Linked DNA regions of Struthio camelus. The protein of the gene in region 2 interacts with the protein of the main gene of each other region in a biochemical or structural test. Links are inferred from orthologs where the notes say so. Each region holds a gene or a part of one and is shown on either strand. Other genes may lie near its edges.

What was found.
Region 1: of the proteins of RIGI (region 2) and RNF135, one has a biochemical effect on the other in vitro, tested with the Homo sapiens proteins (6 studies listed by BioGRID, with this or other methods). The link is inferred for Struthio camelus from reciprocal best matches to the Homo sapiens genes RIGI and RNF135.

Annotation. Positions count from the first base shown.
Region 1 is NC_090960.1:5,020,927-5,024,834, forward strand, and holds the start of RNF135 (E3 ubiquitin-protein ligase RNF135), read right to left. Parts: upstream 2,410-3,908; 5' UTR 2,032-2,409; coding exon 1,681-2,031; intron 579-1,680; coding exon 492-578; intron 1-491.
Region 2 is NC_090982.1:9,800,782-9,804,689, reverse strand, and holds the start of RIGI (antiviral innate immune response receptor RIG-I), read right to left. Parts: upstream 2,788-3,908; 5' UTR 2,496-2,787; coding exon 2,390-2,495; intron 2,033-2,389; coding exon 1,901-2,032; intron 1-1,900.

The DNA.
Region 1 (3,908 bases), on a different chromosome or scaffold from region 2:
GCTAGTGCTTCATCTAATGCACTTTGACTGACGTCTACAGACCAGTAGCAGCTGTCTTTATTTAAAGGAATAAAACATGTTTGCACTGTCCTGCATTGCTTGCAGTCGGATTTTGAGCATGTTACGGATCTTGACTGTTTTATGGCCAGCAGTCTTTGGTCAGCATCTTCGCAAAGATCAATATTCCCTCTTCATGCCTTGCCTTTTGCCTCTAAGGGTTCCAGAAGCATCCAGGCTGCTCCTGGGATAGGCAGAAAAAGACAACAACATGCAACTCCTGTGGCCCTTGCGCCAGCTAAGGCAGGGGTTAACGCAGCTGGTGCCATAGTCCACACTCAGCAGAAAAAAAAAAAAAAAGAGGTATGAGAGCAAAAGGAAACGAAAAGGAAATCCCTGCTTTGGGCTAGAAGGCTGCACTGGTGTCAGTCAGGTTCTCCAGGTGGATGTGGAAACAGAAGTTAACTGCAGTTAATGAACGTACACATCCATACCTTTGTTTTACTGAGATCCTCCCTCAAGAGGCGGATGGTCTCTTCAGTCATTTCCAGTTGCTTGGAGATCTCACTTATCTCTTCCTCCTTTAAAGTGACACATTGGACTGTTTATCTATATAACACTCAGAGAAAACATGACTACGTTATACAGCAGAGTAATAAAACCCCCTACATCATGGATATTAGCGATGCACTGACTGGTTCAAAGCGGGGTAGAGCTCACAATTAATTCTGAGTGTGAATAATCACAGCAAAGTCAACATTCAACAATTACATGTTCAAATGTCATTATGAGCTTAAGCCCTCTGCTTGACTGCAGAGATTGAAGATAACTGTCTTGTGTGTGTACGTATGTGCGTATAGTGCTAAAATAATGCGAGTCAATAGTCAGATTTTGCTCATCTCTTCCATCAAAATGTGGGAGTTGTTTAAAGTTTTTTTCTTTTTAAGCAGAGACGTAGATAATGAACCAGAGGCATTTTGTGCCGTTTGGCTAGGGGGAGCTGTAGCACCGTATAAATAATGTTATGTTTCAGTTAGCTGTCTCCAGCTAAGCCTGTGCAATAAATAACACCGCTTAAAGATGTTTATGAAAAGAGGAGGGAAAGAACAGACAGGGACTGGGATACAAAACAACTGAAGCAACGCTCTGTCTTCCAGGATGCTCAGCGCTCAAGGCGAGGGATACCACACGCTGGGATTACACTGTTTGCCCATTGCTAGTTTTAACTGGAGGAATAATAAGGCAATGGTGAAAAATGGAGACGGAAACGAAAGACAGTAACAGAGATGGAGAGAAAGAAAAAGAAAACAAGTGAAGATATATTTACAGACATCTAAAGTCTCTAGCCCTTCGGTGATCAACAGGTAGTGCTCCAGCATCCTCTCGTAGCACCCCTTTTGCATATATGCAGCCCTCTCAATGTGATACTGTTATGAGAATGCTAAACTGGCATGTGAAATGCAAAGTAGCCAGAAGGAAAAAAAAATGCAAGAAAACAGATGAAGTTAACTCAGTTCCAGCCTCATCCCCATTTTCACAGCCCTGCAGAAGGGTATCCCTGGGGGTTACTCTGGGCAGGAGCCCCAGGATCTCCTGGGGAGGTGAGGGCAGGAGCCCTGGGCTGTCCCTGCCTGTCCCAGGGGGCTGCCGCTAGCAGGATCCCCGGGCGGCCTCCGGCCATACCTTCACGGCTTCTCTCCGCCCTGCTGAGCGCTGGCCACCCCAGGCGCCAGCTCTGGCCGGTTCCGGTTCCTCCTCTTTCTCCCACTCTTTCTCCTTTTCCTCCCTGGGGACCAAGTTCACCAGAACGGCCAGCTCCCGGTTGGGCCGTAAGTCCTTCAGCTCAAAGCCTTCGCGGCAGAGCGGACAGCCGGCGCTCCTCTTCACCTTGCAGTAGTAGGTGGTGATGCAGGACCGGCAGAAGCTGTGGCTGCAGCCTGCGAGCCGCACGGGGTCGGTGAAGTACAGCAGGCAGCATGGGCACTTCAAGTCCAGCTTGGCCTGGAGCTGCCGGAGATCCACAGAGGCCGCCATGATCTCTGGCGTTTCAGTTTCGGTTCCCACAGGCGCCCCTCCTCCTGCCTTCCCAGAGGCTCCCTCTGTGTGCGAAAGCCAGGAGACGGCAATGGGATGGTGGGGACAGGGTATCCCCTCCGAGAGCGAAGGGAGAGAGCCAAGGACACCGCAGGATGGTGCCTCTCCTCTAACGCTGGCTCCACTGAGAGGCTGCTGTGCTGCGGTGGAGATGGGTCCACCCACACGGCTGGGCCCCACAGCTGGGCCGAGGCTGCCGAGCTCACCCCAGGCAGGCAGGATGGAGCAGAAACGGGCCGGGAGGCTCCCACAGACTCCAGGCCAAGACGCAGGGCGCAGCCGGAAAGTTCAGTGCCTGGCCCAGCACTCCCCTCTTCTGGCAGCTCTGGTCTATGAATTGGTTTGACTTAGAAAGGAACTGTCATGCAGAGCACTCTGTGATCCGGCCTTGACTTTTACTGACTCTGGCAAAAAAGTTGTCGCATCTGCACTATTTCACTTTCTCAGGGAGTTTCCTGGTTTTGTTAGAGAAGTCTCAGTAGAGTTGCTGACAGGGCTGGCCTACTGACCCGTCTGGGAGAGCAAGTAACACAGCTCAGTGGGACCAGCACAGCACCATCCAGGAAGTTTAGGCTACTGGGTGGCCTGCTCCCTACTGAGCATCATCCCCTGTTACTCAGGTGTGTAAAACCAAACCAAGACTGATACTCTTCCTCATACAAGTCAGCAGGTGCTTTGCTATTGATTTCGGTGGCTGCTGGATCAGATTGCTACAAGATTTGCTGAATCACCACAAACTGGAATTTGGGCTGTGTGGCGAGAATGGGAACACGGGAGTTTATGGGAGCGTATAAGCAAGCAAAACTCCTGCTGCAGATTGCTCAGGGTGAGATGGTGATGAGCTGGCTGAGACAGGCAGAATGAAGATCCAACTCAAATCATTTTTGCCCACTATTGCACACACACACATACAAAGTTAATCTCACTAATCCCTGCACATATCAGCACTTCCTCATTTCTGCAGAAGAGGAGAACTATTCTGGGTATCTCAGACTGGCTGGCAAGCATCAGCAAGAGGTGACAGCTTTACCAGAAACTTAGTTTGCAAGACTTCCGCTTGATTTGCAAACTAAGGCAGTATAAAAGAGAAGAATCAAATATCTGAATGACTGGCTGCTTGGCAGAATCAAACCTTACACTCTGTCCAGCAAGAAAAAGCTCAGTGCACTGTATCAGCCCATGTAAATCTTCACTAATTTCTGCATGGAACAGATTAAGTGGCACCCGATCAGGAGGCATTCACCCTCCACTTCCAGTGCTGGTACTTATTCACCGAGTGTCTTCAAGCAGGTCACTGAAGATAACACTTTTAAAAGTAGCTTCTGCCTTTCAGTCCCCATATTAGACCAACTCATTAAGTGAATCTAGAACCCAAAGCTTCAGCTGGACTTCCCGGAGGTAGGACAGGTCAGCATATCTTCATCCTGAACTCATAATGCCTTGGTTGGGGCACCCACTATCCAGCTTTGCTTTGGAAAAATTTGATGTTCACACGTCAGATCTGCCAGTTATAGAAGAGTCAAATAGCAGAGACTGCCAAAAGCAAGCAGCTAGGGGTATTTGTCATCAGATTGAGTCCATTACAGTATCCTCTACAATTCAAACATGACTTTTATTTCTATAATTTCTGTACCAGAAATACAACACTGTAAAAGACATTAAACCCACTGAAAACAACCCTGTCCCTGTCTGGAGAGGAGCTGCAGGCAGGTGGAGCACAGCTCCTGAGCTTTACATGTGCTCAGTGACTGCCAGAGTATGCAGCCGCTGCTTGGCTGTGCTCCTCCCACAGTAAGACATCCAGTAACTCCAGCACA
Region 2 (3,908 bases):
CTACAAAATGCCTTGGCTCACATTACCTAAGCAACAATAGCAATCCCCTTCCTTTCACGTGCATCACCTTTGATTGCATACTCTTCTGTAGAATTTTAAGACACTGCTGCGAATCACAAACAGCTTCGGACCCCTTCTCTTTCATTTACCACCTGAAATTCCCATCCTCGCCTCCACCCCCTCCAATATTCCGTATCATTCTGCCTTCAGGTCAGTCCCAGACTGAGACAACTGCAGCCAAGGCATTCGGCAAAACAGCAAGCAGGGCACGGAGCAGAAAGCACCAAGGAAACATAATTAGAGGACTTACGTAATTTGCATTGCACAAAAGACAAGGCTTGAAAGTGCACAAAAGCAGGGCAGGGACCTAGAGAAACTGTGGGAGAGCAGAAGGAATTTGCTTAACTTTTTCTTTTCTTTTGGAGGAGCAGGAGGCAGTGGAGAGACTCGCCAACACAAAGTCTTTACTCGAATTATCAGCTGTCTCTGCATCTGTTGAATGCACGGTAATGCTAAATTCTAGTCTAAGGCCCAAGAGCAGTGGCAATACTTGCAAGGCAAGGTAAGAGAACAGCTATTTGGGATGGTGCTTGGAGTCACAGAGGGTTAACTTTATCAGTGTTTTCTGCTCAAGATACATCAAACTGAAGGCTACTAATGTACTTAAAAGAGACATTTTTGCAATTCAGAAATTAGCAGTAGAGCAGGCTGATAAGAAGCTGCCCTGGATCTAGACTTCGTTTTAAGGGGAGAGCGGAAGACATCCAACTGCTAGGAAAGCTTGTAACAATTTCTCACTGAGACACCATAATTAACTGTAGTGAAGAGTGAGTAAAAAAAGCAATAGTAGCTTATTGCATGGCCTTTGTGGGGTTGAAATATCTAACAAAGCATCAACCAGAACCTGTGGTAGAACCTGCATCTTGAGAAGAAAGCTGGCAAATCTTCACAATTTTGTATCTCCACAATCTTTTCTGTCACCTGTTGCAAAGGAAATTGCACTAGTACCTGACTCATCAAGCACTAAGAGCGACTGAGGGACTATTACCTAATTTCCAAACAGCTAAGAGCTACTTAGGTCTTAAAGCATAGGACTTCAAGACCTCTGAGCTAGTCTTTTTAAAAATATTTTCTAAATTAAAACCCTGGGGTTGAATGAAGCTATCGCATGCTACGAGTTAATACACACACATACCCTGAAGCCCCTCTTCCCCTCTTTTTTAAACATTCAGCTTTTGCTATCAGAGGATGCTTTTAATCAGACCTGATGAGAACTATGGCTCTCTCGCTCCTTCTCTAAACGCTCTGAGACAGAGTCTGCTGCTCTGGTGCTCTGACACAAACATTTCTTACATAAATGAGGCTTTATTGTGCATCCCTTCATCATTTTGTTCACTGTCTCCATCAGCCAGGTTGTTCTGCTACTTCTCATATGGGAATTTCCCTTTGTTTTCTGTGAGTTTTTCTGTCAATCTCAGGCAATCTTCTACTTTTTCCGAGCGTTTTTTCATCTGGTGTGACAAGATCTCAACAAACACAGTCAAGGTGCATCACTTTCCATCCTGTGTCGGCTGTGCAATAGCCTGCCCACATGCAAACAGCAGGTGACTGTTTGTGTTTCGGGGCTGCTTTTTTGTTTCGTTCCCAGTTTTTTTCCCCAAGAGAAACAGGGGAACAGGCAGCAGGAGCAAATAACTCTCCCGGCAGGTCAGGGTTAGTCTGAAATCTCTGCTCCACCCTCCAAGCGGCCCAGTCCGGCGGAGCAAAGACGGGCACCGCAGCAGTCGCAACCGCCCCCTCGACGGACCCCTGGGCATTGCTTTCCAGGAGAGGAGGAGCAGGCAGGGGACAGGGCGGAGCGGAGGGGACGACGCAGAGGGCCACGTCGGCGGGAACTCACCTGCCGCCGCCAGCGCGTTGAGGAAGCCCCTGAACCAGCCTTGGCTCTCGAGCTGCAGGACGACATCCAGGAAGAGCGTCGCGGCTGCCATCACCCCCTTTTCTTCCTCCTTCCGAATCCTCTCTCTGACCTCTGGCACAAAACCAAAACTTGGTCTGAATTAAGACCAAAAAGAAAAAAAAAAAAGAAGTGCCAGCGCGTAGCTGGATGCAGGGGGGCTGCCCGGTCCCAGCCTGCGGCGGGGCGCGAAATCCTTCACCTCCCAGGGGCCGACACCGGGCGCAGACAACAAGCGGCACCGGGCGGCCCCGTCCCCCCGGGGCAAGGCTGCAGAGCCAAGAAACCCCCTTCCCCTACCCCAAGGAAAGCAAAACCGAGGGGAGGGAGGCTACACCAGGCGGGGGGGGGGGGGCGCCCACCCCAGCCCCGTCGCGACCCTGCGTGGCCCCGGAGCCGGCCCGGCTCCCACCACCCCAACCCCGCACCTACCGTCAGAGAGCCAGTCGGTCATGTTACCCAAGATGTAGAGCGGGTTGAGGGTGCTCTCGATGAGCCGCCGGTAGCACCGCAGGCTCCACTTCTCCACCGCCGTCATGGCCCGGTCGGTTTTTGCCGGAGCCGTCGGGGCGCAGGGGAAAGGGGGCAGCCCCCTGGCCCGGCAACGCGGAGGGGGAGCGGGGCGGGCGGAAAAGGCGGCCGAGAGCCGCGGAAACGAAACTCAACCGGGCCGGCGGCAGAAAGGAAACCGAAAGCCGCCGGCCCGTCGGGGGCGGGCAAGGGAGGCCACCCCGGGGCGAGAGCCGCGGAGCCGCTGCCCGCCCCCGCGTTATCCCCCTCCTGCCTCTTCTTCCTCCCGGCTTCCTTTCAGCAGCTGCCTCCCGCATTTCACCAGACCGGAAAATGACTTTCTAAAGGCAGGCGGGGCCCCCGAGGTGCCCCCCCCCCAGCACCTGGGCAGCGTTAGGGTCGCTCGAGGGGGTCCAAGCGAGAAGGGGCCAGCACGCTGCAGAAGGGACACTGAGCTTCATAACGGCACACGCAACCCCCCCCCCCCCCTCCCCAAAGTGTAGAGCAGATGTGGCCAGCTGTTCACAGCTTTATCAATCGTATGTTCAGCCTCGGTCACTGCTGAGACCTGGCCCCACAGGTGACGCTCGCTGTCTGAAGTCGCAGCTGCACGATACCGCTCAGCACCGGGCCCGACCTGGCAGGATGGGGAGGGGGAGGCAGAAATGCACTGTGCTGCAGCTGCTTCTGGCGCTGCCGATACCCCTCTGTACCTCCCGCGACTCTCGGCTGGACCACGAAGTCATATGCACCTGGTGCAAGAAAATCTCCTGTTCCTTCAGGCACTTTCGTTTTTTTCCAGCATGTCTCTTTAGATGGAGGAGAAGGACAAACCCTTCTCACCCTGCAGAAGAGGAGCTTGCTACATACAGCTCATTCAGCAGCACCTCTGCTTTTTCAACCCCCTCCCCCCCCAAACAGGAGACCACCCCCTGTGGTGTCGTTCTGTGTGGGCTAAGAACGACCTAAGAACTTTCTGCAGCAGGTAGGAAGGCTTTGCTGTTCTGTATTTCTGCATCTTATTTTCTAAAAGGCGTGAAAAATAATTATCATGCCATTGGCACGGCGTTTTCTACTCTGTTCAAGTCCAGCTTTACTCTGAACTCTTTCTCTCTAGTCTGCCTTCGCCTGTTTGACCCAGTGCTAAAGGGACTGCACGACATCTTTTTTTAAACATACTCTGTATCATCGTGGTGTAGCATCATTGTTCTTTCAAAGAGCCCTAGGCTAGCAAAGACTTGCATTTGGACTGTTGACCTTAACACTATGCAATGAAATGAACCAGGGGAAGGCCACACTCAGCTGACCAATCCAAAGAAAAGATGTTGCTGGAGCAATGTCAAGCAACTGGGAGAAGACACCTTCCTCAGCAAAAAAAAAGAGGTGTGTGCCAGCCCTAAGTGGCAGCATGATTCATCGCTCTATTCTTTGTATGTTGTCC